4 linked regions of the Saccharomyces cerevisiae S288C genome follow. Changing the gene in region 1 together with any one later gene gives a genetic interaction. Each region holds a gene or a part of one and is shown in the gene's direction. Other genes may lie near its edges. The genes, in order: TYE7, ENO2, TDH3 and SOK2.

Region 1 (7,376 bases):
AAAGACCTTGCATTCAAGCCGCCGGTCTTTGCTGTTAAATGTGAATCATTGACACTTTGCTGGCTAAGGCAATTGTTTTTATCAGGTGTTTCCCTATTTATAGAGTATTCCAAATCGCTGTCCAATAAATCTACAAGACCACCATGTTCACCCATCGCTGGATATGCCTAGAAATGCAGTATCGATTTATTTTGAGAAAATCTGTCAACTCGTTACTTCTTTGATAGGGAAATCTTTAGTTAAATTTGTTTAAAATTAAGAACCAGGTCTTTAGACTATGCCAAAAGGTATTGGTGCTTAAAGGTTGCCGTAAACTCTAACTCTATATATCTCTAAGCCAATGTTTAAGTTGATGCGATGTGCATGATCACTTCACATTTTTTTCATGATTTTGTTTTCTTCCTTAGCTACTTTTTTCCGTCTTGGTCTGTGTAAAAAAAAAATCGCTTCACTGAAGAAAAATATAAATAAAAAAAGGACATCAGCAAGTTCGTAGTCAATAAATGTGATGAGTAATTTGCGATAATCTACCCCAACTCAAAGCATTCAATTCAAATGAAAGAAGAGTTCGTGAATTTTAATCTGGCTTACAGATTGGATCATAGCTTCTAATATATCTTCCTTTTTATTTTAAAGTGATTAAAATATGTGGATGTCTGCATTAAGGTGAAGGCAGACTATAGTGAAAAATAGTAGCAAAGGCTTCATATAATGAACTACCTAGTTGTATTCAATTGGAATCTGTGAACGCGGCATTAAAAGAATATTTGAGCTTTTTTTGATTGTATTAACCTGAAGCTATCACGGTTTAGACTCATTAAAAGAAAAATATCCGGTTGTATCGGATAACAACACCGCTGTAGTAGCACAGTTTTTTGATCATAGTTTCATTATTTTTTTAAATATGCTTGTATACAGTAATCTAGTTTTGGACGGATTATTCATGTCAGTAAGATTTTACTATCTACTTTAAAATTATCGAAACAGATATCAACTATACATCCACTCATTATTGGCATAGCGAAATAAAATTTATGAATAGGAAGGATATAAAACGAAAATTGAAATCGTTTAGTATTATATGAAACTATTAGTCTTTTCGTTTTCGTCGTCATACTTACATTCTTCTTTTATAAATATTGTTGTGCCTAAGAAACAAAATTAAGTAACTGTCTAAAACGAAGTTGCAAAAAAAGGGGCGAGCTGGGAATTGAACCCAGGGCCTCTCGCATGCTTTGTTCCTCCTGTTTGATCAGGGGGATCGCCCAAAGCGAGAATCATTCCACTAGACCACACGCCCATACAATTTGTGATTTCTCAAAGTTCAAGATGAAGTATTATAATTTTATATTCATTTTCCTCAGTCCCAAAAACGAATGGTTGAAGAGAACTGTTGGAATAAAAATCCACTATCGTCTATCAACTAATAGTTATACTATCAATATATTATCATATACGGTGTTAAGATGATGACACAAGTTATGAGAAGCTGTCATCGAAGTTAGAGGAAGCTGAAGTGCAAGGATTGATAATGTAATAGGATAATGAAACATATAAAACGGAATGAGGAATAATCGTAATATTGGTATATAGAAATATAGATTCCATTATGGGGATTCCTAGACCCTCGAGGAGAACTTCTAGTATATTCTGTATACCTAATATTATAGCCTTTATCAACAATGGAATCCCAACAATTATCTCAACATTCACCCATTTCTCAAGAACATTGTTGAAATGTAGCGCAATAAGTGGTGATTGATACCAACGTTTGCTGCTACGTTAGCAACCTAAACGCTTACACCAAATGTTTAAATTAGTATACTTTTCGAAAATTCGGTGGATATTAGAATAATTTTTAAGATCCTATTGATGATTAAAGCTATAATTGGGTAAAATAAGCATATTCTTGAAGTTCATTACTAAGATATAGAAATCAAGGAAAGGAAACCGATATTTCTACGTAACATTTATTATTTTTCCTTGCATTTTGTGTCGCGTTCTCTTTTATTTCTTTACATTATCAGTCCTTGTATTGCGGCATCCACTAAATCTGATGATTGTTTCTTAATTCCCATGTCATCTTTTTACACAGTATATAATAATATGCTGAATTATACGATATCAAATTTCTTTGGGTGCGATGTAGATGATTCAAATACTCAATAATTATGCATGAAAGAAATCCATTATTCTTGGCAGGAATGCCTCAGGGAATATGGGACCATGACAAGAGGCAACTTAATAGGCATTTACAACCTTTTGATTGAATAATCTAACTATGGGATATAAAGAAGCCTCTAAAAAATTAAATGCCGATAACCTTGATGATTTTCGTATGCTTATTTAATGCGGCTCCCGTCAGCGCCCTGCCGGGTAATATGATTCCCTTTCCAAGTAAGAAGAGCGACAGATAAGCGCGCTTGTATTCATCATACTGCCGCTATGCTGCTTTTCAGTCTGAAAATCGGATGTAATCTGAAAAGCGGATCTGTATTACGATATGATATGGGCAGCCTTTGTGGGTACGATGTCTAGAATTGAAACATTTTTTAATTATATTAATCTTATCGTTTACTTTTTCACATTCTTATCAGTAGGGCGAAACACTAAGAAAAGAGGAACCTCTTTGCGGCTTACGTAAAAAATGCACTAGCCATGTTTGGCACGTTCCCTGCTTGAACTGACATTAGGGGTCGAGCACGAGAGAAAGCCTATTGCCATCACGTGGCAAGCCAGCAATGATCAATTAACAACGCTAAAATCGGCGTATATGCAATGCCAATCCTACGATACTGTTGAAGTAAGGGGGAGGGCGCTAATACGACTCAGACTGACATGCCCTAGTTGTGCTACAAAATTGTCGTTTATGTTACAAACACGTGTAAGATAGTAAAATACCCTTCTTGGACATTCTATTATGCCAAAGCAAAAAAAAATCGGTGAAATAAACCTGTCTCAGTCTGGTTTAGGAAAAGAGACATCACCACACCATGCCAAATGCGGCAACTTCCTTAAACCGCGGTGTCGTAGAACCCATTCATCCTTGTGTATACGCTATGCTGGGCGGTACTTACCGGATCTGGCAGGCACCACATGGGTAGAGAATAAATGACGCACGCATCTGAATGTTACACCCAGAGGTATCCCGGAAAATCTTCCTTTTGAAACCGGAACAAGCTGACCTTGACTTTCACCCGCGGATACTGCTTAGCCCAGTTCCGGCCGTACACAAGCCCTTCTGGAGTGGGATTGAGCTCACTTCATTGCGCTGTTACTCCCCTAACAACGTGGCCTCTCTCCATTCGGTAAGGAATCAAATTTTGTTCTAGAATGTTCATGCTGCTGCGGTCATTTCTTACCCTAGTAGTAATTCATTGTGCCCACGTACGAACCGTACAATGGGATTCTGCCCTGCGCACGTTCACAGTTCGCCAAATAACAATTCTCATTTTCATTTCTTTTTCACAGTGTAGATGATACCGTGTCTGCGACATTTCCATTCTTAGTAGAAATGCAAAACGCAACGTTTGCTATTAATTTTTTTCACCTCTGTTTCCTTTTTTTTTCTCACCTCAACAATCAAATGTACTTATATAAACTTCTTTTGTTATCTCCAAAATTTAAACTTATTTACATCCTTTTTCACTTCATATATCAATTCATGGGAAAGTAAAGCTATCTTAATTACATCCTTATTTTATATTTCCCAACCATCAACCTTTATTCTTTACATATTTCTCTCTTTTCTCATTTTCTTTCTTATTAAGCGTAAAGCACCACAAGCAGTACCGATCTAAAGTCTCTCTACTTTACTATTATTTTTTTTTTTTGTTCACTTCATAAACTTTTAGTGCAAAAATAAAAATAAAGACAAATAACACACTATCAAATCTCTTCAAGTTTAACAATTATGAACTCTATTTTAGACAGAAATGTTAGATCTAGCGAAACTACTTTAATTAAACCTGAATCTGAATTTGATAATTGGTTGTCGGATGAAAATGACGGAGCTAGTCATATCAACGTCAACAAGGACTCCTCGTCAGTTCTTTCTGCATCTTCTTCCACATGGTTCGAACCATTGGAAAACATTATCTCCTCTGCATCCAGCTCCTCGATAGGCTCTCCAATCGAAGACCAGTTTATATCTTCCAACAACGAGGAATCTGCTCTTTTTCCAACAGATCAGTTTTTCAGTAATCCTTCCTCATACTCGCATTCTCCCGAGGTTAGCAGCTCGATAAAAAGAGAAGAGGATGACAATGCCCTTTCGTTGGCAGATTTTGAACCGGCTTCTTTGCAATTAATGCCTAACATGATAAATACTGATAATAATGACGATAGTACCCCACTTAAGAATGAAATCGAGCTAAACGACTCGTTTATAAAAACAAATCTAGATGCTAAGGAAACGAAAAAGAGGGCTCCAAGAAAAAGACTGACCCCCTTCCAAAAGCAAGCTCACAACAAGATTGAAAAACGCTACAGAATAAACATCAACACAAAGATTGCAAGACTGCAGCAGATTATCCCATGGGTAGCAAGTGAACAAACAGCTTTCGAAGTAGGTGATTCTGTAAAAAAACAGGACGAAGACGGCGCAGAAACTGCCGCTACTACTCCTCTTCCATCTGCCGCTGCTACAAGCACGAAGCTAAATAAAAGCATGATCCTAGAAAAAGCTGTTGACTATATTCTATATCTACAAAATAACGAACGACTATACGAAATGGAAGTTCAAAGGTTGAAAAGTGAAATCGACACTTTGAAACAAGACCAAAAATAAAAGCACGCTTGCTTAAACACCAATATTATAAAATTACGATAGAAATTCCTTTCTCCTCTTTTGTTTATGCGACATTTTTTTCTTTCTTAGCGAAGTACTTTAAAAAACAAGCCCAAAAAATAACAAGGCCATAACATAGCAGACAAGAATACAAAAAAAAAAAAGAAGTTGGAAAAAACATACAAAAAGATAAAAAAAAAAAATCCCCACTAAAGAAGGATGATAAATCGTGATGCGCACTTTTCATACCTTTTTCTTTTCTATTTCGTATTATTCAAAAAAAATTCTAATTTTATTCCTCCTTTATACACATTAATGACGCGTGGTTCATAGCCAAGAAAGCACAAGACATGACGAAATTCCGTTTCAGCTACGGACGGATATGTATGCCAAAACCGAAAAAATAAAAAAAAATCAATTTTTTTTATTTCAACAAACACATACACCTTAATGATTTATACGAACGAACTCTTCTCAAACTTTTCTCATTTATTTTATTTTATTATCTTATTACGGCCTTTTCTATTCATTACATTCACAACCCGTTATTATGTCACGCCATAACTAAACTAAGTACGAAACATATATTTACAGCATTATATTCTTAAAGAAGTTTTTTGGGCTTTTTGTATTCCCCCCTCTGATTGACGACAATTTGTTCGAAGCGAGATATTGGGCTGTCATATTAGCAAAAAAATATTGCTCCAGGGGAGGTTCGAACTCTCGACCTTCAGATTATGAGACTGACGCTCTTCCTACTGAGCTACTGAAGCGCACAAAATATCAAACGTGTTGTATTACGGGCTCGAGTAATACCAGATTCCTTGAAGTCTTGATATAAGCAGTTTTCGGAATTTCTAGTATATTCCTTATACATAATATTAAAGCTATCAGCAATGGAATCCCAACAATTATCTCAAATTCAACCAATTCTTACGAGTATGACTGTGTGGAGAATGTGGATTTTGATGTAATTGTTGGGATTCCATTGTGATTAAGGCTATAATATTAGGTATGTAGATATACTAGAAGTTCTCCTCGAGGATTTAGGAATCCATAAAAGGGAATCTGCAATTCTACACAATTCTATAAATATTATTATCATCGTTTTATATGTTAATATTCATTGATCCTATTACATTATCAATCCTTGCGTTTCAGCTTCCACTAATTTAGATGACTATTTCTCATCATTTGCGTCATCTTCTAACACCGTATATGATAATATACTAGTAACGTAAATACTAGTTAGTAGATGATAGTTGATTTTTATTCCAACATACCACCCATAATGTAATAGATCTAATGAATCCATTTGTTTGTTAATAGTTTAAATGTTTTTATCGGAAGAGGTTTTGTCATCACATCAGCAATGTTCTTCTTGGTCTCGATGTAGTATACGTATAAATTATTACCTGATACTTCATCTCTAAGTCTCATTGCCTTTGTGCCAAAAAATCTGTTTCTAAATTTCTCTTCATTTGTAGACTTAATTATACTGATCGTTGATCTACTATCAGTAAGTAAGCCTTTAATAATTGGTTTCTTGTTAAGTTCTTGCACAAGGTGACTGAGGTTATTCAATAGCGGTATAGCTTCACTGACTGCGTGTATTTCTGCTTCTGTAGTTGAAGTGCATGTTAACGAAGCCTTTGTCGACTTTCCTCCAATCACTTTTCCGTTGAGTAGGAAAATGTTACCAATTTGTGACTTGTAATATGGTTGGTTACCATATGAAGCATCGCTTATTGCGACTAGTTTATTATCTGGCTTGGTAGGTTTGTTTTTGTGCCATATTAATTGTTTATCTCTAGTGTCCCACATGAATTGTATTAACTCATATGTCATGTCTAAAACTTGCCTAGAGGGGAATAGTATATGTTGAGCAAGTGTGTTGATGTAGTATAGTAAGTCAAATCTAAATTTATATCCAACATATGAAGCTAGACCAATCAACTTTTGCATTTCATGCACTTTCTCTTTGTATTCATCTTCATCTATTTCTAGTTCATCCTGGTCTATATAATGACCTGGTTGACCTGGAGCTCTAAGTTTCTTTCCTTTTGGGTTCAAAGGTACGTTTAGTTTGGGTAATTTTTCTGTCAAGGATTTTTCCATACCTAATTTCATGTACTTGCTTCTTTGATATTTGATCTCTAATCCAAGTATGTCGTACTGAATTTCGTTATCACCTTCACCCAGATTTATTATCTTTGTATCGTATTGTTTCTTGAGTGTTGTTATGATTTTCTTATTTGCATTTAAGTCTTTGCTGAATAATATCATATCATCAACGAATAAGCAAATTGTTACTTGACTATTCTTAAATACGCATGACCATCCGCGAACTTCTTGCATGTCGCAACAATTTATTAAATATGATTTAATGGTTTCATACCAGTTTGCACCACTTTGTTTCAAACCATAGAGTGATTTTCTCAAACGTAGTAACTTATCATTCAAACCTAAATGTGGTGGAGGTCTTATGTATAATTCTTCTTTGATATCAGCATATAAGTAAGCAGAGGATATGTCCAGCTGTGTGATATAATAGTCATTGTCTAATGCGATTGACAATGACGTCATC
Region 2 (8,003 bases), on another chromosome or scaffold:
GTATCAATCTGGTCATAATGTTTTAAAGTTTCTAACAAAAAATATGGGTGAGTTGACCAAACACTACAGGAATGATAATAATGCAAACTATGACAAGCTGCTACAAAATTTTGAGTTAGAGAGACAATCCGAAAATCCAAACAACCTGATGAGGCAACTCCTGATGATACAGTTCGATACAGAAACACTTCCACAAGTCTTATCGCACTACCTCCAAATTTATCCAGAAGTACCTGAGAATAACTCAGCAAATGACGACAGCGACCCATTGATGCACGCGAATAATTTCAAGAATATGAATGCCATTCTTTTTGATGAATTAAGCAAAGAACGAACGGGAGCCTACCATGGATCCAATCTAGAACTATATACTCCAAAAAGCGCAATTTATCATTTAAAATTTGACATCAACATACCTTATCCATTGAATATTATTATTAGTAGGACATGCATGATAAAATACCAAATAATCCTGCGCTACCAACTAGTTTTACAATACCACTCAAGGCTTTTGGATGAGACTTGGATGGACTTAAACAAAACACCCAGCTGGAAATACAGAGGCTATTCGCACACTGTGAAGAGGAGGATAGTAAGGGCAACGAGAGTGCTGCATGCTAAGATGAACCACTTCATTAAAACCATCATGGAATATTTCAACCAAAACGTAATTGATAAAGAGGTATACTCATTAGAAAAGTGCTACAGAAATCCTACTCTTGCCGTTGCCATCCAAAATGAGCTAGAAGGTGGATTAACAAATATAATGACAAATCGTTGCTTGTCTGACTTGATTCCACTACAGTTACAAATATTTGACATTGTATATAAGTTTTGCAAGTTCATCAAATCTATGAGAGCAAAATTATGTCAACTGGACCCCGTACTATATGAGAAACACAAAAGCGGGATGATGAAAACACTAAACGAAGGCTATCGTACAAACAATGGCGGTCAGGAAGATGTTGGTTACCAAGAAGATGCCGCCCTGGAATTAATTCAGAAGCTGATTGAATACATTAGCAACGCGTCCAGCATTTTTCGGAAGTGTCTCATAAACTTTACTCAAGAGTTAAGTACTGAAAAATTCGACTTTTATGATAGTTCAAGTGTCGACGCTGCGGGTATAGAAAGGGTTCTTTACTCTATAGTACCTCCTCGCTCAGCATCTGCTTCTTCCCAAAGATGAACGCGGCGTTATGTCACTAACGACGTGCACCAACTTGCGGAAAGTGGAATCCCGTTCCAAAACTGGCATCCACTAATTGATACATCTACACACCGCACGCCTTTTTTCTGAAGCCCACTTTCGTGGACTTTGCCATATGCAAAATTCATGAAGTGTGATACCAAGTCAGCATACACCTCACTAGGGTAGTTTCTTTGGTTGTATTGATCATTTGGTTCATCGTGGTTCATTAATTTTTTTTCTCCATTGCTTTCTGGCTTTGATCTTACTATCATTTGGATTTTTGTCGAAGGTTGTAGAATTGTATGTGACAAGTGGCACCAAGCATATATAAAAAAAAAAAGCATTATCTTCCTACCAGAGTTGATTGTTAAAAACGTATTTATAGCAAACGCAATTGTAATTAATTCTTATTTTGTATCTTTTCTTCCCTTGTCTCAATCTTTTATTTTTATTTTATTTTTCTTTTCTTAGTTTCTTTCATAACACCAAGCAACTAATACTATAACATACAATAATAATGGCTGTCTCTAAAGTTTACGCTAGATCCGTCTACGACTCCCGTGGTAACCCAACCGTCGAAGTCGAATTAACCACCGAAAAGGGTGTTTTCAGATCCATTGTTCCATCTGGTGCCTCCACCGGTGTCCACGAAGCTTTGGAAATGAGAGATGAAGACAAATCCAAGTGGATGGGTAAGGGTGTTATGAACGCTGTCAACAACGTCAACAACGTCATTGCTGCTGCTTTCGTCAAGGCCAACCTAGATGTTAAGGACCAAAAGGCCGTCGATGACTTCTTGTTGTCTTTGGATGGTACCGCCAACAAGTCCAAGTTGGGTGCTAACGCTATCTTGGGTGTCTCCATGGCCGCTGCTAGAGCCGCTGCTGCTGAAAAGAACGTCCCATTGTACCAACATTTGGCTGACTTGTCTAAGTCCAAGACCTCTCCATACGTTTTGCCAGTTCCATTCTTGAACGTTTTGAACGGTGGTTCCCACGCTGGTGGTGCTTTGGCTTTGCAAGAATTCATGATTGCTCCAACTGGTGCTAAGACCTTCGCTGAAGCCATGAGAATTGGTTCCGAAGTTTACCACAACTTGAAGTCTTTGACCAAGAAGAGATACGGTGCTTCTGCCGGTAACGTCGGTGACGAAGGTGGTGTTGCTCCAAACATTCAAACCGCTGAAGAAGCTTTGGACTTGATTGTTGACGCTATCAAGGCTGCTGGTCACGACGGTAAGGTCAAGATCGGTTTGGACTGTGCTTCCTCTGAATTCTTCAAGGACGGTAAGTACGACTTGGACTTCAAGAACCCAGAATCTGACAAATCCAAGTGGTTGACTGGTGTCGAATTAGCTGACATGTACCACTCCTTGATGAAGAGATACCCAATTGTCTCCATCGAAGATCCATTTGCTGAAGATGACTGGGAAGCTTGGTCTCACTTCTTCAAGACCGCTGGTATCCAAATTGTTGCTGATGACTTGACTGTCACCAACCCAGCTAGAATTGCTACCGCCATCGAAAAGAAGGCTGCTGACGCTTTGTTGTTGAAGGTTAACCAAATCGGTACCTTGTCTGAATCCATCAAGGCTGCTCAAGACTCTTTCGCTGCCAACTGGGGTGTTATGGTTTCCCACAGATCTGGTGAAACTGAAGACACTTTCATTGCTGACTTGGTTGTCGGTTTGAGAACTGGTCAAATCAAGACTGGTGCTCCAGCTAGATCCGAAAGATTGGCTAAGTTGAACCAATTGTTGAGAATCGAAGAAGAATTGGGTGACAAGGCTGTCTACGCCGGTGAAAACTTCCACCACGGTGACAAGTTGTAAAGTGCTTTTAACTAAGAATTATTAGTCTTTTCTGCTTATTTTTTCATCATAGTTTAGAACACTTTATATTAACGAATAGTTTATGAATCTATTTAGGTTTAAAAATTGATACAGTTTTATAAGTTACTTTTTCAAAGACTCGTGCTGTCTATTGCATAATGCACTGGAAGGGGAAAAAAAAGGTGCACACGCGTGGCTTTTTCTTGAATTTGCAGTTTGAAAAATAACTACATGGATGATAAGAAAACATGGAGTACAGTCACTTTGAGAACCTTCAATCAGCTGGTAACGTCTTCGTTAATTGGATACTCAAAAAAGATGGATAGCATGAATCACAAGATGGAAGGAAATGCGGGCCACGACCACAGTGATATGCATATGGGAGATGGAGATGATACCTGTTCGATGAATATGCTATTTTCGTGGTCATACAAGAATACGTGTGTCGTCTTTGAATGGTGGCATATCAAGACCCTGCCTGGACTGATTTTAAGTTGTTTAGCAATTTTTGGTCTAGCCTACCTCTATGAGTACTTAAAGTACTGTGTCCATAAGAGACAATTATCCCAGAGAGTATTGTTACCAAATAGATCTCTGACCAAGATCAACCAAGCCGACAAAGTGTCCAATAGTATTCTATATGGTTTGCAAGTGGGATTCTCATTCATGCTCATGCTTGTATTCATGACTTATAATGGTTGGTTAATGTTAGCTGTCGTGTGTGGGGCAATATGGGGTAATTACAGCTGGTGTACTTCGTATAGTCCTGAGATAGATGACAGCTCCCTCGCCTGCCATTAAGATGGTGACAAATATTACAAATTTGATACTATTTGTATCTATTTTGTTTTTATCCGGGATTTTTCGTATTTCTTCCTCATTCATACCCTTCCCTTTATTTGTTCCCACTGAGTATAATGATAAACTACGTTAACATTACATGTATAATATTTAGCACTCGTACGTTACTAGTCTTTGACACAAGTTTATATATCCCCCCCTTTATGTTATCGTTTATTGGCTACAGCCTCAGTAATCAAAATAGTCCACTATTTCTATATCATTAACTTCTGCGTCGCCAAGATGTTAATCATGAAACGATCTAGTTCTTCAACAGTTTGCCAGCGACCATTCGAGCTAATCTTGAACAAAAGTAATACTATTTAAGGGTGGGCGCGGGTTGTTATACCGTTTTGAGACGATCTACTATAACGTTATATTTAATTATATAAGTGATGAATTTAATGTCCCGTCCACAACACGAAATCGCACCTCATTTCAACGCGGCAAGTATTAATGTTCTGCTTTATGAAAGATTCCATGAACCCTTTTCTACCTTTTAAATTCCTCTTTTCACTCTTAATCACATGATATTACCTTTACATAGGAAGCGCCAGACATCTTTTTGCCGAGAAAAGCCATTATGCAAGATAATCCTGTAGCCTCATATCAAGGATAAATGCCACTGCAAAAACGCAGTCGTTATTTGGGACTGTATTTAAATGGGCCACTGTTTTTATACAAGTCGAAAATACAATAATACAGAAAATTCAAGCAGGAAGCGAGAAATAACAAGAAGTAACTAGGCATGACAGTGAATGACAAAAAAAGATTGGCAATCATAGGTGGGGGGCCAGGAGGGTTGGCAGCTGCAAGAGTTTTCTCGCAAAGTCTTCCAAATTTTGAAATAGAAATATTTGTAAAGGATTACGATATTGGCGGTGTCTGGCATTATCCAGAACAAAAAAGTGATGGGAGGGTCATGTATGACCATTTGGAAACCAATATATCAAAGAAGTTAATGCAGTTTAGCGGCTTTCCCTTCGAGGAAAACGTCCCTTTATATCCGTCTCGAAGAAACATTTGGGAATACTTGAAAGCCTATTACAAAACGTTCATTGCCAACAAAGATGCTATCAGCATCCATTTCAGCACCGAAGTTACCTACTTAAAGAAGAAGAACTCTCAATGGGAGATAACATCTAAAGACGAACTAAGGACTACTAAATCGGATTTTGACTTCGTTATTGTTGCGTCTGGTCACTACAGTGTCCCTAAACTACCAACTAATATCGCAGGTCTCGATCTATGGTTCGACAATAAGGGCGCCTTTCATTCTAAGGATTTCAAAAACTGCGAGTTTGCCCGTGAAAAAGTCGTTATTGTGGTGGGAAACGGCAGTTCCGGCCAAGATATTGCCAACCAACTAACTACCGTTGCAAAGAAAGTATATAATAGTATAAAAGAGCCTGCGAGCAATCAACTGAAGGCCAAGTTAATCGAGACTGTCCAAACAATAGACAGTGCCGATTGGAAAAATCGTTCAGTTACTTTATCTGATGGAAGAGTACTTCAGAATATAGACTACATTATTTTCGCCACAGGCTATTATTACAGCTTTCCATTTATAGAGCCCTCCGTTAGACTGGAAGTGCTAGGTGAGGGTGTTACTGGCGACAAGCACTCGTCTGTCAATCTGCACAATTTGTGGGAGCACATGATCTATGTAAAAGATCCTACGCTGTCCTTTATCTTGACCCCGCAGTTGGTCATCCCGTTCCCGTTGTCGGAACTACAGGCGGCTATTATGGTCGAAGTATTCTGTAAAAGCTTACCGATAACTACAACTTTCGACTCTAATGCCTGCGGAACGCACAACTTCCCAAAGGGAAAGGACCTGGAATACTATGCAGAACTACAGGAACTACTGAATAGCATTCCACGTAGGGTCGGTCATTTCGAACCAGTTGTATGGGATGATAGACTGATCGATCTAAGAAACAGTAGTTATACAGACAAAGAAGAAAGAAATGTGCTTCTAGCGGAACACGCACAAGCCCTAAAGAAAAAAAAAGCACCATACTTCCTTCCGGCGCCACATACTTAACGTAAAAAGGAATGTACTTGTATAGAAAAAACACATATTGTGCCGCTTAATATTTCGTTTCCCTCATGTATATACCTTATCGCTGTTAAAATAAGAAATCTTCACTTCTGCTATCTTTTTTTTTCAAACATTGATTAATAATCCGGCCGTCCGCAGATTGCTTACGCAGAATATACCGTACCGCCACCGTAAAATTAACGAATACTTAAATTTCCGCCTCTTCCGTTTCGGCAATAGCGAACCTTAATGTAAGTTTTTAAAAGGCAGCGCCAAAAATTGCTCTGAAAGGCCTGCAGTGCTTCGCGGCTACGCAGTTCCCATGTAAAAAAAAAAGAAAACTTTCTTTTTGAATCTGGAAAATCCGCACAGGCGCGCCAGCATAAACCTCAGTATCCTGCAAAGGCCATCCTTTTAAAGATCTTAACAACGTATGAATCTGAGGCAGAGAGAAATTAAGCGATAAACGTTCCTTTTAGACTTTCACTTTCTTGGCCGTCATTTAAAAAAAAATTATCTAATAATCTCTAATTTTAAGTTGAAATCACGCTAACATATGACTATGACTATTAACCTTTTTATGTGGAAAAAAAAGGAAGAATATGTTGTAAACGTATTTTAGCCTTGTTCCCGGAACTTTAATCACTCTGGCAACTTTTTAAGTAGTCTGTCTTTTTCTCGGTCGTATATTCCTCAAAATTCAAGAGGAAAGAGGAAGTGAAGAAGAAAGCCTAGAAAAAAAAAATAGGCATTAACACAAAAACGCACCTAAGGGACTGAGGAAAATCAAAAAAATGATAATTGCAGTTAGTAAATCTTCATAATCGACGCCCACTTATTCTTTCTTTATAGTACCGGGTAGGCGGGTAATTCATACGTAGCTGCTGCGGGAGAACTACTATGTATCATTCCCTGTTTATTTGTATGAATTATTATTTAATACGTACATTCTTGTAAGCCCTTCTTCAACAAAACAAACAAATAAAGCGAGAAAAAAGGGAACCACGAATTAAGATAATTAATCAAACAATAGATAGGAAAAGGAGATCGACGAGTAAGCGTAAGAATGATGGATATCAGCCCTACCTGTTATGGGTACATCGACGACGAGCAAGATCTAGCCCTTGTTTTCCAGGGCGTATTCAATGGAAATTTGAGATGCATCGAACGGAGGCCATATGATGCAGAAAAGGTTGAATTAGTCAACCCCGGAAACATTTTTGTTTTCAACGAAGAGAAATCCGGCATCAAAAGATGGACAGATGGTTTTTCTTGGTCTCCTTCAAGAATTTCAGGCAAATTTCTCGTATATAGAGAGTATAATAGGCTGGGTTCCACGCACGATCTACCGCTGCATAATGTACCTGAGTATAATATCTTCGAGAGGGCTCATAGGAAGTATTTTTATACTGGACTACTGAAAAAAACATTTTCTCTAAAATTCAATATGGATCCCACCGACAGCACTAAGCTGGAAACATTTCATCTTATTGCGTACTATACGGAAAAGGATATTCATCAAGGAAGTTTGAGGAGACCTTCAGAAAATCCTTTCTTCCATAAATTTCGACCTTCACAGAAACTATTAGATGCTTTACAAAAAGTTGCTGTAGGAAATGGCAGATCTAACCCGTCTAAAAATAATGAGAGAGGCAGAACCAAAGCTCATAATTATAAAACGCGCAGGTCTTTATCATCTTCTCCGAGCTATTGTGATCTCTTGAGCAATTATAACAACCATCCTGGAAATATTCCAGTTAGGACCGCAGTTCAGTTACCTTTAACCACCTTCAATAACGCTCCTCGAGAAATGCACCAACAGCAGCACCGACAACAGCAACAATATCTCTTACCCATAGATGAACAGAATAAATTACCTCTCCCGTATATGCAGCACCAGCCACAACCAATTGGTGTTTACAATCCTAACTATCAGCCTGGATTGAGACGTACGGTCTCACAACCTATGATTTTCTGCAATACATACAATACTCTCCCGCAACAACCTACTGCAGCACCTTATGAACGGCGTGGCGTGTCGCCTTCAGTGATATACTCCTCCAATACATTGAGCCCAATACCATACCAAAATATCG
Region 3 (7,978 bases), on another chromosome or scaffold:
AATGCAGGAAACGATAATAGTACAACAGATAATGATAATAGTAACAATACTGCCAATGATTTGGCAGCGCGCAGTGCATCTTTCAAAAGTGAAAACAGAACAGTATCTCAAGGCGAAATGACAAGCGTCCATGAACCCAGTACTGAAGAAATGGCGAAATTGGGGCAGCAGAATAACTTACCGAAATTAGATATGAATAAACTACTGAACAGTAAGACTTCGCACGCCGGTAAGATAGAACAGTTGAGAAATTATAAGCGTGAGCTAGATGAATATGATACGGGGATACAAACATGGATAAATTATACGCTAAAATCATCCTCTAATAAGGATAAGGATTTCATAGCTGAGGAGTATAAGCAGCATAGTCACGTTAGGGAAGCATATGCGAACGCGGACGATTTGAGTAAGAAGCATACTGTCATTAACACGGTTGCTAGTGTCAACCAAAATGTAACGCACTTAAGGAGAAAAGTTTTCCAGCATTCTATGAAACCAAAGGATTTATTCGCATCAATAGGTAAGAAAAAACTGTAAGCGTTTTGCTTTACGGTAGAAACACGAAAATGTAAATGCGTTCAATTTTCAATTTTACTGTTTTTTATGTACTTTTATATAAACAGTGGCAATTAATGGCGTTTTTTATTCTACCTAGCAGAGGCGTTACTGACTCTTTTCTGAGCATGTTTCCTCAGTTCTTCATCCATCAAATCTCTTACCCTATGAGCACCTGCGATGCCGATGGCAAGAACGTTCTCTAACCTATCTAACGGAATTTTGTCTTCCACCAATAAAAGAGAAAGTTTTTCTGACTTCCCTACCACACCTAGTGTCACTGTACTCATAGCATTTTCTTCTAATGAATTGGTATCTAATAATGGGGTAGTATCGTACAGCCCGACGGATATACCACTTATGTAATCGAACATTGATATACCGGCATCTATTAAAGCGAGGGTAATACCGTTGATTAAAGATCCCATAATACCGCCATCTTGCTCAAGGACATGGATCTCGATATCGATAACTGTTCTGGGGTAGATATTCAGCATGACATTCTTCTCAAACATCCTCACCAGGGAGGTTTGTATCTCAAGAACACGCCTTTCATTCTTGTGGCTTGATTTACTTCTTTCGAATTTGGAGAATTTTGTAATGTTTACCGATACGTTCAATAAAGCCTTTGAGGTATCCATTTGAGATTTCAATCTTGGCTCTTTTGGACCTTTAACAAGAGTGATAATTTTGTTGTTACCTTGTTCCATGTAGGATGAACCGTCTGCAGCGTGCGGATGTGTGTTGATGGAACTTTCAAAACGGCGGAGTTCATTCCATCGACGTCCATCGAGACGTAGCCCTTCTGGCGAGTATATTTCTAGTCTTGACATATGATGATCCTGCTGTAGTTATGGCACTAAAGTTTTTTTGTAAATCTTTTTATATGTTAATAGATTTTACCAGTGGGACCCTGGAAAGAAAATATGTGTAAATGATGTTTTCTTTTGGATGATGTTCATTGCACAATGGTTCGCAATGTCATTCATTCATCCATTTCTTCTAGCTTTTCAATTATTAATGCCTTAAAATTTTTCAATTTCACCGCGTTACCCGAAGATGTAAATGTACCTACTCAAATAAAAGGTTCCTTGCTGGTTGGCTTTCGTAGCTAAATTGAGTGCACGTTACAAGATTATAAATGCGTTTATATATATATATTCCAGTGAATGATCTACTTTTGCTTAAGCGGCAGAATTGCAAATCTTAATTTTTCTTTTTTGTTTATGTTTTATTTCCTTGTGACAAATAAAATTTTTTTCTCTTCTGAATTTTTAAAACTAAAGAACAAAATATTAAAATAAACAAACAATTCTCCACTTTTTCTTCTTTTGGTATAGAAACTGATAGAAATGTCCTAGACCCTTAATAAGCAAAACACTCATCATTATAACGGGAAAAAATTTGAAGCAAGCTCAAAAGAGATATATATATCATCCAGCATAGACTACTATTAATTTCTATCATAATTGCAATAAAAAAGGAAATATTTAGGGGATCAAGACCATTATTCCATCAGAATGGAAAAAAGTTTAAAAGATCACGGAGATTTTGTTCTTCTGAGCTTCTGCTGTCCTTGAAAACAAATTATTCCGCTGGCCGCCCCAAACAAAAACAACCCCGATTTAATAACATTGTCACAGTATTAGAAATTTTCTTTTTACAAATTACCATTTCCAGCTTACTACTTCCTATAATCCTCAATCTTCAGCAAGCGACGCAGGGAATAGCCGCTGAGGTGCATAACTGTCACTTTTCAATTCGGCCAATGCAATCTCAGGCGGACGAATAAGGGGGCCCTCTCGAGAAAAACAAAAGGAGGATGAGATTAGTACTTTAATGTTGTGTTCAGTAATTCAGAGACAGACAAGAGAGGTTTCCAACACAATGTCTTTAGACTCATACTATCTTGGGTTTGATCTTTCGACCCAACAACTGAAATGTCTCGCCATTAACCAGGACCTAAAAATTGTCCATTCAGAAACAGTGGAATTTGAAAAGGATCTTCCGCATTATCACACAAAGAAGGGTGTCTATATACACGGCGACACTATCGAATGTCCCGTAGCCATGTGGTTAGAGGCTCTAGATCTGGTTCTCTCGAAATATCGCGAGGCTAAATTTCCATTGAACAAAGTTATGGCCGTCTCAGGGTCCTGCCAGCAGCACGGGTCTGTCTACTGGTCCTCCCAAGCCGAATCTCTGTTAGAGCAATTGAATAAGAAACCGGAAAAAGATTTATTGCACTACGTGAGCTCTGTAGCATTTGCAAGGCAAACCGCCCCCAATTGGCAAGACCACAGTACTGCAAAGCAATGTCAAGAGTTTGAAGAGTGCATAGGTGGGCCTGAAAAAATGGCTCAATTAACAGGGTCCAGAGCCCATTTTAGATTTACTGGTCCTCAAATTCTGAAAATTGCACAATTAGAACCAGAAGCTTACGAAAAAACAAAGACCATTTCTTTAGTGTCTAATTTTTTGACTTCTATCTTAGTGGGCCATCTTGTTGAATTAGAGGAGGCAGATGCCTGTGGTATGAACCTTTATGATATACGTGAAAGAAAATTCAGTGATGAGCTACTACATCTAATTGATAGTTCTTCTAAGGATAAAACTATCAGACAAAAATTAATGAGAGCACCCATGAAAAATTTGATAGCGGGTACCATCTGTAAATATTTTATTGAGAAGTACGGTTTCAATACAAACTGCAAGGTCTCTCCCATGACTGGGGATAATTTAGCCACTATATGTTCTTTACCCCTGCGGAAGAATGACGTTCTCGTTTCCCTAGGAACAAGTACTACAGTTCTTCTGGTCACCGATAAGTATCACCCCTCTCCGAACTATCATCTTTTCATTCATCCAACTCTGCCAAACCATTATATGGGTATGATTTGTTATTGTAATGGTTCTTTGGCAAGGGAGAGGATAAGAGACGAGTTAAACAAAGAACGGGAAAATAATTATGAGAAGACTAACGATTGGACTCTTTTTAATCAAGCTGTGCTAGATGACTCAGAAAGTAGTGAAAATGAATTAGGTGTATATTTTCCTCTGGGGGAGATCGTTCCTAGCGTAAAAGCCATAAACAAAAGGGTTATCTTCAATCCAAAAACGGGTATGATTGAAAGAGAGGTGGCCAAGTTCAAAGACAAGAGGCACGATGCCAAAAATATTGTAGAATCACAGGCTTTAAGTTGCAGGGTAAGAATATCTCCCCTGCTTTCGGATTCAAACGCAAGCTCACAACAGAGACTGAACGAAGATACAATCGTGAAGTTTGATTACGATGAATCTCCGCTGCGGGACTACCTAAATAAAAGGCCAGAAAGGACTTTTTTTGTAGGTGGGGCTTCTAAAAACGATGCTATTGTGAAGAAGTTTGCTCAAGTCATTGGTGCTACAAAGGGTAATTTTAGGCTAGAAACACCAAACTCATGTGCCCTTGGTGGTTGTTATAAGGCCATGTGGTCATTGTTATATGACTCTAATAAAATTGCAGTTCCTTTTGATAAATTTCTGAATGACAATTTTCCATGGCATGTAATGGAAAGCATATCCGATGTGGATAATGAAAATTGGGATCGCTATAATTCCAAGATTGTCCCCTTAAGCGAACTGGAAAAGACTCTCATCTAAAATATGTTTGAATAATTTATCATGCCCTGACAAGTACACACAAACACAGACACATAATATACATACATATATATATATCACCGTTATTATGCGTGCACATGACAATGCCCTTGTATGTTTCGTATACTGTAGCAAGTAGTCATCATTTTGTTCCCCGTTCGGAAAATGACAAAAAGTAAAATCAATAAATGAAGAGTAAAAAACAATTTATGAAAGGGTGAGCGACCAGCAACGAGAGAGACAAATCAAATTAGCGCTTTCCAGTGAGAATATAAGAGAGCATTGAAAGAGCTAGGTTATTGTTAAATCATCTCGAGGGAAAAATTCAAAAATGCTAAGTGCAATTTCCAAAGTCTCCACTTTAAAATCATGTACAAGATATTTAACCAAATGCAACTATCATGCATCAGCTAAATTACTTGCTGTAAAGACATTTTCAATGCCTGCAATGTCTCCTACTATGGAGAAAGGGGGGATTGTGTCTTGGAAATATAAAGTTGGCGAACCATTCAGCGCGGGCGATGTGATATTAGAAGTGGAAACAGATAAATCTCAAATTGATGTGGAAGCACTGGACGATGGTAAACTAGCTAAGATCCTGAAAGATGAAGGCTCTAAAGATGTTGATGTTGGTGAACCTATTGCTTATATTGCTGATGTTGATGATGATTTAGCTACTATAAAGTTACCCCAAGAGGCCAACACCGCAAATGCGAAATCTATTGAAATTAAGAAGCCATCCGCAGATAGTACTGAAGCAACACAACAACATTTAAAAAAAGCCACAGTTACACCAATAAAAACCGTTGACGGCAGCCAAGCCAATCTTGAACAGACGCTATTACCATCCGTGTCATTACTACTGGCTGAGAACAATATATCCAAACAAAAGGCTTTGAAGGAAATTGCGCCATCTGGTTCCAACGGTAGACTATTAAAGGGTGATGTGCTAGCATACCTAGGGAAAATACCACAAGATTCGGTTAACAAGGTAACAGAATTTATCAAGAAGAACGAACGTCTCGATTTATCGAACATTAAACCTATACAGCTCAAACCAAAAATAGCCGAGCAAGCTCAAACAAAAGCTGCCGACAAGCCAAAGATTACTCCTGTAGAATTTGAAGAGCAATTAGTGTTCCATGCTCCCGCCTCTATTCCGTTTGACAAACTGAGTGAATCATTGAACTCTTTCATGAAAGAAGCTTACCAGTTCTCACACGGAACACCACTAATGGACACAAATTCGAAATACTTTGACCCTATTTTCGAGGACCTTGTCACCTTGAGCCCAAGAGAGCCAAGATTTAAATTTTCCTATGACTTGATGCAAATTCCCAAAGCTAATAACATGCAAGACACGTACGGTCAAGAAGACATATTTGACCTCTTAACAGGTTCAGACGCGACTGCCTCATCAGTAAGACCCGTTGAAAAGAACTTACCTGAAAAAAACGAATATATACTAGCGTTGAATGTTAGCGTCAACAACAAGAAGTTTAATGACGCGGAGGCCAAGGCAAAAAGATTCCTTGATTACGTAAGGGAGTTAGAATCATTTTGAATAAAAAACACGCTTTTTCAGTTCGAGTTTATCATTATCAATACTGCCATTTCAAAGAATACGTAAATAATTAATAGTAGTGATTTTCCTAACTTTATTTAGTCAAAAAATTAGCCTTTTAATTCTGCTGTAACCCGTACATGCCCAAAATAGGGGGCGGGTTACACAGAATATATAACATCGTAGGTGTCTGGGTGAACAGTTTATTCCTGGCATCCACTAAATATAATGGAGCCCGCTTTTTAAGCTGGCATCCAGAAAAAAAAAGAATCCCAGCACCAAAATATTGTTTTCTTCACCAACCATCAGTTCATAGGTCCATTCTCTTAGCGCAACTACAGAGAACAGGGGCACAAACAGGCAAAAAACGGGCACAACCTCAATGGAGTGATGCAACCTGCCTGGAGTAAATGATGACACAAGGCAATTGACCCACGCATGTATCTATCTCATTTTCTTACACCTTCTATTACCTTCTGCTCTCTCTGATTTGGAAAAAGCTGAAAAAAAAGGTTGAAACCAGTTCCCTGAAATTATTCCCCTACTTGACTAATAAGTATATAAAGACGGTAGGTATTGATTGTAATTCTGTAAATCTATTTCTTAAACTTCTTAAATTCTACTTTTATAGTTAGTCTTTTTTTTAGTTTTAAAACACCAAGAACTTAGTTTCGAATAAACACACATAAACAAACAAAATGGTTAGAGTTGCTATTAACGGTTTCGGTAGAATCGGTAGATTGGTCATGAGAATTGCTTTGTCTAGACCAAACGTCGAAGTTGTTGCTTTGAACGACCCATTCATCACCAACGACTACGCTGCTTACATGTTCAAGTACGACTCCACTCACGGTAGATACGCTGGTGAAGTTTCCCACGATGACAAGCACATCATTGTCGATGGTAAGAAGATTGCTACTTACCAAGAAAGAGACCCAGCTAACTTGCCATGGGGTTCTTCCAACGTTGACATCGCCATTGACTCCACTGGTGTTTTCAAGGAATTAGACACTGCTCAAAAGCACATTGACGCTGGTGCCAAGAAGGTTGTTATCACTGCTCCATCTTCCACCGCCCCAATGTTCGTCATGGGTGTTAACGAAGAAAAATACACTTCTGACTTGAAGATTGTTTCCAACGCTTCTTGTACCACCAACTGTTTGGCTCCATTGGCCAAGGTTATCAACGATGCTTTCGGTATTGAAGAAGGTTTGATGACCACTGTCCACTCTTTGACTGCTACTCAAAAGACTGTTGACGGTCCATCCCACAAGGACTGGAGAGGTGGTAGAACCGCTTCCGGTAACATCATCCCATCCTCCACCGGTGCTGCTAAGGCTGTCGGTAAGGTCTTGCCAGAATTGCAAGGTAAGTTGACCGGTATGGCTTTCAGAGTCCCAACCGTCGATGTCTCCGTTGTTGACTTGACTGTCAAGTTGAACAAGGAAACCACCTACGATGAAATCAAGAAGGTTGTTAAGGCTGCCGCTGAAGGTAAGTTGAAGGGTGTTTTGGGTTACACCGAAGACGCTGTTGTCTCCTCTGACTTCTTGGGTGACTCTCACTCTTCCATCTTCGATGCTTCCGCTGGTATCCAATTGTCTCCAAAGTTCGTCAAGTTGGTCTCCTGGTACGACAACGAATACGGTTACTCTACCAGAGTTGTCGACTTGGTTGAACACGTTGCCAAGGCTTAAGTGAATTTACTTTAAATCTTGCATTTAAATAAATTTTCTTTTTATAGCTTTATGACTTAGTTTCAATTTATATACTATTTTAATGACATTTTCGATTCATTGATTGAAAGCTTTGTGTTTTTTCTTGATGCGCTATTGCATTGTTCTTGTCTTTTTCGCCACATGTAATATCTGTAGTAGATACCTGATACATTGTGGATGCTGAGTGAAATTTTAGTTAATAATGGAGGCGCTCTTAATAATTTTGGGGATATTGGCTTTTTTTTTTAAAGTTTACAAATGAATTTTTTCCGCCAGGATAACGATTCTGAAGTTACTCTTAGCGTTCCTATCGGTACAGCCATCAAATCATGCCTATAAATCATGCCTATATTTGCGTGCAGTCAGTATCATCTACATGAAAAAAACTCCCGCAATTTCTTATAGAATACGTTGAAAATTAAATGTACGCGCCAAGATAAGATAACATATATCTAGATGCAGTAATATACACAGATTCCCGCGGACGTGGGAAGGAAAA
Region 4 (9,105 bases), on another chromosome or scaffold:
AACGATTCTGTATTATGAGAACCATTTATTAGATCAAGTGAATCAAAATTTTTTGAAGCGATGAGAGCATTTTTTAAATTTTGCATAAATTTGTTTTGCATTTTTGCTTTGTTGTGTTCATATCCTTTACTTCGTAACAGTATAACTTCGATTAGCATTTTGCTTGCTTTTACATAGTCACCCTTATTCATGTAGGCGATCGCTAAATTATAACGAACCCTTGTAAAATTCGGTCTTAGTTGTTTGCATTTATTGTACGCATTTATCGCAGAGTGATACGACTTAGTATTGGCCAAAATAGCACCATATCTATTCCATATTGTTCCATTATTGGGCTTTTCCAGTAGTAAAAACTCTAAGCATTTCTGAGATTGCTTTATTTTCTGATCCGAATAATATAAGATTGATAATACTGAATATATATCATACTGATCTTTTTTTTCTATACCCATATTCAACAGGGATTCTAGAATATGCGCCAAATGGGCCTTTTTCGGAATTTTATTAATGCTATCTTTGTTTTCCCCCGCAGAAGGTTGGAAAACCTTCGAAAATTTTGAAAGAATCCATTTGTGAAAAAGTTTCAATGACTCTGATTCATTTTGTTGATTTATATGGTGAATTGCTAAGTTTTCCAATGCAATTGTATTATTTGGATCCAAATTTAAGCAATTTCGCAAAGCAAGCTCTCCATTGCTTTCGCTTTCATTTTCAAAATTAACTATACCTAACTTCAACCATGCATTTATATGGCTTGGATCTTGTGAAATGGCTGCTTCAAAGGCCATTACTACTTCGTTCAAATTGGAACCGTTGTCCATTAGTACACATCCTATTTTATATGGGTCCCGTTCCGTTATGTAGATGTTTGATTTTAGGAATTGATATGTTTGTGGTACGGATGACAGCATATGCATGAAATCAATTGTTTCTTCGTATTCTGCCACATATTCATAACCAACAGTTTTTTCTTCTACATTGTTTTCTATCTTTAGCTCATTTAGTAACTGATTTTCGATTGATTTGAACTGAAATTCCCAGCCATTAGAAACAGATGAGTGTTCATTGTAAGATATTCGACAAGGATATATACGATTTTGCTGATATGCCGTACTATAATATTGTGCAAAGTACCTATTGTGCAAATTAGCGGAGCGTTTCTCATGTTTGTTTCTACTGGGCTTGGTCACATCAGCATTTTTATTCTTGGGGAAACAAGAGAATTCCTTTGACCACTGGTTCTCAAGTCTTGAAAATTCTTTTTCGCTGACACCACTATGTTGAGATTTATCTGCCGGTAGTGCGGCCCGAAAATCTATCTTACCAATACTGCTGCCGGTTTGACAATTGGTAAAGATGTAATCTATTGTTCTAGCATCTCGCGCGGCGCTATCGTTAGTCTGAAAATCAGAGAATTTACCCAGATTATTCCATTTCAAGCCTAATCCATTGTTGATCTTATGAATTGGGTTGTCACCAGTTATGGAACAAGTAACTTCGTTCATCGTGCTTACAAAAGGTACCCTTTATTCTTAATGATTCTCCACTCAAAAAAAAAGAATAAAATAAAATAAAACGGATAAGAGTACGAAAAAAAGTGATGACCTTTTCTTTATTTATTGCCACTGTTTGGGTGAGAATATTGGGGTAAGAGCGCTTTGCCCCAAGTTTTCTGTACGATTTCAATGCGTATCAATCATCCTCTCCGGCGTTAGTAAGGTACTACCAAGGCCTCTACCGTTCCCAGGAAACTCTTCGGGTTTTGTCTGCGCCGCGCCGCTCTGATTGCTTTTCTTTTGGCGGCTATTTAAGTTCCCAGGTGCACATCAAAACCGGCAGGAAGCAAAGTAAATTAAGTTTGCACTTACAAACCCAAATAAGATCTCAATGTATTGCGTGCGCTCATATTCACATATGCGCAGGAACAATCTTGTCATATCTGAATCAGGCTGACGCATCCATGTCGTGTACATTTCTTGTAGGCTTGAAACTTGAACGGTACGAGAAACAAATTGGAAACGAATAAAAAAGTAAGAGAAGGAGGACATCCTCGTCCAAGTTGCGGTATGTATGCGGCAATGAACTACTCCGAAAAAATGCGGAAAAGAGGCATATTTGACCCAAAGCAGTAAAGAGTTTCGTTATATCAACCGTGGCGGGATAGCATTCGGTGGTCTGACAATTAATAGGATGATCGGGCTAGGGCTGGGCTTGTGGAAAAAAGGATAGTAAAAATTTTCTCTAGTAGCATACGATGTGATGCTTCCAATTTTCAGAACATGTTTGTACAATAACTCTATTATTGATTTTTTTTTTTACTAATATCGTTTGTAGGGTAGAATTATTCTTACTAAATATCCTTTTCAACTTAAACATATACGGACGCTTGAGATACACTCTTGTCTTAATCCGCTCGATCTTGGTAAGGGCGTTGTGACGCTTAATATAAAAGGCAAGCGCAGAATATAATTTTTCCGCAGCATAAGCACCCAATCAAGACAATTCTATAGGAATAGTGTGGCATACGCAGTGATTACCGGAAACCCTTCATAATGTTTTCCTTTTTCCCAACAAGATTGAACTTTGATATCGTTTTGTAACTAAAATCTTTTTTGACAAATGAAATTATATGAATTATAACTTATCAACTTTATGAGAAGCAAGTAGACTTGGTACTGTAAAAAATATAGTCCCACGACAGCGGTATCTATCTTTCTTACCCTCTTTTACTTTTCACAAAATCATGTTGATTTTTCAGTTAACCCAGTTTAAGATCATGAATGGAACGGGAAACAAATACGTAACAACTGGGAAAAACAAACCTGCCGATGTTTGAATGCACTTTATTTATGGGAAAGAGAAAGCTTTGTCTGACAACTCCGAAAGAAAATACAAAGAAGAATTGAGACCTTCAGTACTAATGTCCCCCTCGCTCTTTTTTTTTTCTCTTTCGCAAGAATATCTGCGTATGCCTTTTTAGAAACTATTTATTCAATATATTTATACACGATATTTTGTGTGTATAACAGATCACCATCTTTTCCCGATCACTTTCTCCAATCTATATCGCTTGGCCTGTAAAGCATTATCTGCCTGCTGTACATTGTTCTCGATGTCAAACATTCTAGTGTTTTGTGCTTCAAACTCTCTGCCAAAAGCGTGAGCCATAATTTTCAAGTCACCACTCACCGCTTTTATTTGTTCTAGGTTTCCGTACAAGTCGATTTCCATTTGGTTATCTTCTTCATCGGCTTCAAACTGATACTTCTGGGCATCTCTAAGAATACGCTGTCTTTCCACCCCTTGGCCATACCGTCCATATTCAGAACTTAGATTTATGGCTAAATTTTTGTCAGAATCTTGGGCTCTTTTCATAGTTTCTTGCTGTAAGTGACGATGCTTTAACTTCAAATTGTAGATCTGGTCTCGCTTTTCTCTCTCCCTTTTCTTCCTGAAGGGGTTGGGTGATTTTAATGCAAGCAGGCTTCTATTTTCATGGGCAAGTTCGTCAATCTTTCGGTCGGCTACGTTAGATTGAATTTTAAGCATGTCACAATTGCTCTCGATCTTGGTGAGTTGGTTGCTCTGACAACTTAGTTGTTGAAGAACTCTCTTTCCAGTACATCGAGCCTCTATAGCTTTTTCAAGTGTTCTGCTTGTCGTTTTTACAGATTTTAATTTAGTGCTTCTAATCTCGGACCTGAGTCTATCAACTATTTCATCCTCCTCAGGCTGGACATTCTCTAAGTTATATTGACTTTCAACTTTTCTCCACTGTGGATAGTCATTCTCATTTGCAAAATTTCCCAAATCTCTGTGAATAACGCTATCTGTTTCTCCCAAGTTTTCTTCAGGTATTTGGCACCTGTTGGACTTTGGAAAAACCTCTTCTAACGAAATAGTAGCAAGGCCATCCCTTTCGGGCACCTCATAAGAGACGCATTTATCATCACTAGTCTTAGTGGCGTCATCGAACCGACAGTTTGGGTGAAGTTGTTTGTGGATTTTATTCCTCAAGGATTTAAGCTTCACATGTAGCCTATCACGTCTTCTGCTTCCTGAACAATTGTCCATCCTGAAGGGTGATAAATATTTTGTTTCATGGGATCCTGTAATATTGGAAATAAGTACATAGCGATGATTTTGCAACTTCAGGTTCTTATGGTGCTGATTATGGTGGCGACTGTGATGCGATTTGCTAGCAAGTATTTTTCTGAACCCCATTATATATCTAAAAATGGCTATTCACAAACGGAAAAATCTAAAGTAATAAAAAAATAATAGTGTTAACAGAGAAGGTTTATCAGTAGCTAAAGCGAGCAAATTACTGGTTAACTTATCGTATTTTCCGTACTGTGGTGAATCTTATGCAAAATGAACCTGGCTTTGGCGGGAGTTTTTTTTTATGTGACACAATGGCCTTTTGCCGGTGGTAAATACGCGCTTCAAAAAGGTTGTTACACAGCGGCACATTAGCATGACACAATCTTGATCCTTTACAATTACTACACCGCCAAGTATAAAGCTTTTCCCAACCAACGTGTTTGCCAAGTAATTTTGTGTAGAGTGCGGCTGACTAACAGCCTTAACCGGGTACTCTGTTCCCTGCATTTGCATAAAAACTACAAAGAAAAGAAAGAAGGAAATACTCCGAACCAAAGAGATACAACAAGAATACTTCTCTCATTACATCGGCACCTTCCTGGGGATTAATTCCTTACAAGCGCTGAAAAAATGAAGAGATGATTCCGTACTTCAACAATGGCTTTTAACCTTATTACCCCAAGAGAGTGTCTACAGAATTAAGGCCCATTTAATTTTTACCTTCCTGTTCCTGCATAACAGACACCCCTTACCCGCATCAACAGGAGGGGAGGAAACATTGCCAATATGTCTGCGAATTGTGACAACCAATCCGCATGCACGGTGGGGGGCGGTTGAAAGCGCCTAGACTTCCCTTTTTTGGATTGCTACGTCACCTTCGCAGCGTGCACCAGGTGCATTCACCACACGAAAAGATGCGAAAGCACACCAAGCGCGAAATTCCGGTTTTTGGCTTGTTTGTTTCGGGCTCCGCCTCATCGTCTTAGCAAATCTAGACCTTGTTGAAAAATCGTGCAGGGACTCCGTACCTGCACAAGCAACGCGGCATAATACATGTAGGGATACAGCAAAGATATTGTTTCTGAATGGGCAAAACATTGCTTTCCGCAAACGGCTTTTTCTTCTCTTTCCCACCACCGTGGGTCACCTTTTTCTTGCGCCTCTTATGCCAACACACTCTTCCCGTGATGCGAATGGTAAAGAAGTTAACAAAAAACACAAAAAATTCATATTCCGATTTCTCTGCAAAGAAGCCTGAGCGGGAACTGCATGTCCGCTTGACTTGTCTTCCCTCCGGTTAGCTGTGCCTGCAGGGAAACCGCAGTAGAAGGACTGCGGAAGGATCTTTTCCCGCCGTTGATGTAATCTTTAAAGTTAATTTTTCCCTCACACAGTTTGCATTTTTCCCGCATGTTGTCCGGTTTTTCTTTCTTTTGTTGCTTTTTCTTCCGTGGGCCTGACGGAACATTCCAAGTTGAGTGCGATCTGACTAAGGAACTAGTAGAGGCTACCGCTCAGTAAGTTTAACAGTCGGCTAAGCATCGATCATCTCATTCTTTGCCTTCACTCAGTTCTTCGCAATAGTACAGTGCTGCGCAATAGACGCACGTATCAGTGATGTATTCTTTCTCTTGTCTTCACATAAAAAGTACGTAGATGTGTTGCCCGTTTGTGTTTTATTAACTTATCGAATGTGGCAAGCCGACGATACAAAAGAAAAAAGTTCATCTTTAACACTTCTTTTTGTTAGTTTTTGAAGTTTTTCCCCACTATCTTTTGCATTAGTTGTGTGTGCCTGTGCGTGTGTAAGCCTTCTAGTATAGTTGATAATCCTTTTCCATAGCTTTTTATATTGCAAGCAGAGAGATATCATTTTGTGCTGTTTTCATTAAACATACTTCACAATTGTATAAAAAAAAAAAACCTTTTTGATCTTTGTTTTCAGAAATTGAAAGTGGATTTGTTAAGCACAGTACAAAATCATCCTTATATAACCCTGGTAAGGTCCTTTTGTCATGCCCATCGGTAACCCAATCAATACGAATGATATCAAGTCCAACCGCATGCGCCAGGAATCAAATATGAGTGCCGTGAGCAATAGCGAAAGTACTATTGGCCAGTCCACCCAACAGCAGCAGCAACAACAACAATATCTCGGCCAGAGCGTTCAACCTCTGATGCCCGTATCCTACCAATACGTAGTTCCTGAACAGTGGCCGTACCCGCAATATTATCAGCAGCCGCAATCCCAGTCTCAACAGCAACTGCAATCCCAGCCTCAGATGTATCAAGTTCAAGAATCCTTTCAGAGTAGCGGTTCTGACTCAAATGCTTCCAATCCACCTTCCACGTCTGTAGGTGTTCCTTCCAACGCTACTGCAACTGCGTTACCGAATGGTTCTGCAATCACCACCAAAAAAAGCAATAACAGTACTAATATCAGTAACAATGTACCATACTACTATTATTTTCCCCAAATGCAAGCCCAACAATCAATGGCATATTCGTATCCACAAGCGTATTATTATTATCCTGCAAACGGCGATGGAACCACTAACGGTGCAACACCATCTGTAACCAGTAATCAAGTCCAAAACCCCAATTTGGAAAAAACCTACTCAACCTTTGAACAACAGCAACAACACCAGCAGCAACAACAATTACAAGCTCAAACGTATCCGGCCCAACCACCAAAGATAGGTAATGCATTTTCAAAGTTCAGTAAATCTGGACCACCTTCTGATTCGTCCAGTGGCTCTATGTCTCCCAATTCTAATCGCACTAGTCGCAATAGTAATAGTATCTCGTCCTTAGCTCAGCAGCCTCCAATGTCAAACTATCCACAACCTTCCACCTACCAATACCCCGGTTTTCACAAGACTTCGTCAATTCCAAACTCGCATTCTCCAATTCCTCCAAGATCATTAACAACGCCAACTCAAGGTCCAACCAGCCAAAATGGACCTTTAAGCTACAATCTTCCGCAAGTGGGTTTGCTACCGCCTCAGCAACAACAACAGGTGAGCCCGTTGTATGATGGAAATTCTATAACTCCACCAGTTAAACCCTCTACTGATCAAGAAACTTATTTAACTGCAAATAGGCACGGAGTGTCAGATCAACAGTATGACTCAATGGCTAAAACCATGAATTCTTTCCAAACAACTACCATAAGGCACCCGATGCCCTTAATCGCCACTACCAATGCCACAGGCAGTAACACCAGCGGCACTTCGGCAAGTATAATAAGGCCAAGAGTAACAACAACAATGTGGGAGGATGAAAAAACGCTATGTTATCAGGTAGAAGCTAACGGTATTTCAGTGGTAAGAAGAGCAGATAATGATATGGTTAATGGTACCAAACTTCTGAATGTAACTAAGATGACAAGAGGTAGAAGAGATGGTATTCTAAAAGCGGAAAAAATCAGGCATGTGGTGAAGATTGGTTCCATGCATTTGAAGGGTGTCTGGATACCGTTTGAGCGTGCCCTAGCAATAGCACAAAGAGAAAAAATTGCTGACTATCTTTATCCCTTGTTCATCAGGGATATTCAGAGCGTATTGAAACAAAATAATCCAAGCAATGATAGCAGTAGTAGTAGCAGTAGCACTGGTATTAAATCCATCAGTCCGCGTACCTATTATCAACCTATTAACAACTATCAAAATCCTAATGGTCCTTCAAATATATCTGCTGCTCAGCTGACATACTCCTCAATGAATTTGAACAACAAAATTATACCCAATAATTCTATACCAGCTGTAAGTACAATCGCTGCGGGTGAAAAGCCCTTGAAAAAATGCACAATGCCTAACTCTAACCAACTAGAAGGACATACTATAACTAACCTACAGACCCTTTCGGCAACAATGCCGATGAAACAACAACTGATGGGCAACATAGCTTCACCCTTATCGTATCCACGCAACGCCACAATGAATTCGGCAAGTACATTAGGCATTACACCTGCAGATTCAAAGCCTTTGACACCTTCTCCAACTACAACAAACACAAATCAATCATCTGAATCAAATGTGGGAAGTATCCATACAGGAATCACCCTTCCAAGAGTGGAATCTGAATCGGCATCACATTCCAAATGGTCTAAGGAAGCAGACAGTGGGAATACTGTACCAGATAATCAAACATTAAAGGAGCCACGATCTAGTCAATTACCAATCTCCGCATTGACTTCGACGGATACTGACAAAATAAAAACAAGTACAAGCGATGAAGCAACACAACCGAACGAACCTAGTGAAGCAGAACCTGTCAAGGAGTCAGAGTCATCCAAATCACAAGTTGATGGAGCTGGCGATGTCTCCAACGAAGAAATTGCTGCTGATGATACAAAAAAACAAGAAAAATAGAACAACTATGAATTCCTTGGATAATTATGTTACTTTAATCAAAACCCTACCGCCCACATATATGTACATACGTTATGCATGAGGTGGACTCATGTTATAAATGACATCTATCACGCCTATAAGATAGACACATTGAACACTTCTTTCCTTTGACGTAATCTCTTTACACGTAAAAACTTCGTTATTTCCGCGGCGCGGTTGTGAACGTGGGAGGTTCCCCGGAAAACATCACAAGCAGCTGCTCGTTCGCGCATATGGGCGCCCACACCCCACACCCCTGGATTTTTTAAACGAGAAACTCGTAAAGAGACAGTGTATTTGTTCCGCAATTTCCGGGGCGGGTAATATTTGTTACCATAGTTCTCGAGAAGGTTTCCCTCGTTTAAGTCTGCGAAGTCTCGTACCTTTTATCGCTGCTGACAAAACATAGCCCAAACCTGCGTCTATATGCTGCCGGTGTTTATATCGCTATTGAAGAGAGCTCATGTTTCGGTTTTGAAAAGATTTTTTATCGAATCGGTTGTAAAAGATCGTCCTTATTGTCTTCAGGCAAAGGGACTGATTGGTTTATATACGCAAGCAGGGAATCTTGTTGGAAGAAAAAAATTATATATAAGCTAATTGTCTA

What was found.
Region 2: mutations in TYE7 (region 1) and ENO2 together harm fitness more than expected from each alone (negative genetic interaction), as found in Saccharomyces cerevisiae (2 studies listed by BioGRID).
Region 3: mutations in TYE7 (region 1) and TDH3 together harm fitness more than expected from each alone (negative genetic interaction), as found in Saccharomyces cerevisiae (2 studies listed by BioGRID).
Region 4: mutations in TYE7 (region 1) and SOK2 together harm fitness more than expected from each alone (negative genetic interaction), as found in Saccharomyces cerevisiae (2 studies listed by BioGRID).

The regions. Positions count from the first base shown.
Region 1 is NC_001147.6:974,607-981,982, reverse strand, and holds TYE7 (Tye7p), read left to right. Parts: upstream 1-3,913; coding exon 3,914-4,789; downstream 4,790-7,376. Other genes in the region: REV1 (deoxycytidyl transferase), read right to left, coding at 1-155. UniProt on the Saccharomyces cerevisiae protein: Transcriptional activator of glycolytic gene expression, such as enolase genes (ENO1 and ENO2), glyceraldehyde-3-phosphate dehydrogenase gene (TDH), phosphoglycerate kinase (PGK1), phosphoglycerate mutase (PGM1), pyruvate kinase (PYK1) and triosephosphate isomerase (TPI1) genes.
Region 2 is NC_001140.6:449,618-457,620, forward strand, and holds ENO2 (phosphopyruvate hydratase ENO2), read left to right. Parts: upstream 1-1,709; coding exon 1,710-3,023; downstream 3,024-8,003. Other genes in the region: gamma-tubulin-complex subunit SPC97, read left to right, coding at 1-1,189; YHR173C (uncharacterized protein), read right to left, coding at 1,198-1,536; CTR2 (low-affinity Cu transporter), read left to right, coding at 3,255-3,824; YHR175W-A (uncharacterized protein), read left to right, coding at 3,941-4,090; FMO1 (N,N-dimethylaniline monooxygenase), read left to right, coding at 4,612-5,910; ROF1 (Rof1p), read left to right, coding at 6,974-8,003.
Region 3 is NC_001139.9:882,292-890,269, reverse strand, and holds TDH3 (glyceraldehyde-3-phosphate dehydrogenase (phosphorylating) TDH3), read left to right. Parts: upstream 1-6,459; coding exon 6,460-7,458; downstream 7,459-7,978. Other genes in the region: FYV8 (Fyv8p), read left to right, coding at 1-537; exosome non-catalytic core subunit SKI6, read right to left, coding at 648-1,388; XKS1 (xylulokinase), read left to right, coding at 2,395-4,197; PDX1 (Pdx1p), read left to right, coding at 4,529-5,761. UniProt on the Saccharomyces cerevisiae protein: Glyceraldehyde-3-phosphate dehydrogenase (GAPDH) involved in glycolysis and gluconeogenesis. Catalyzes the reaction of glyceraldehyde-3-phosphate to 1,3 bis-phosphoglycerate.
Region 4 is NC_001145.3:302,608-311,712, reverse strand, and holds SOK2 (Sok2p), read left to right. Parts: upstream 1-6,119; coding exon 6,120-8,477; downstream 8,478-9,105. Other genes in the region: PEX9 (Pex9p), read right to left, coding at 1-1,505; SPO20 (Spo20p), read right to left, coding at 3,031-4,224. UniProt on the Saccharomyces cerevisiae protein: Plays a general regulatory role in the cyclic AMP-dependent protein kinase-stimulated (PKA) signal transduction pathway by regulating the expression of genes important in growth and development. May inhibit the switch from unicellular to filamentous growth.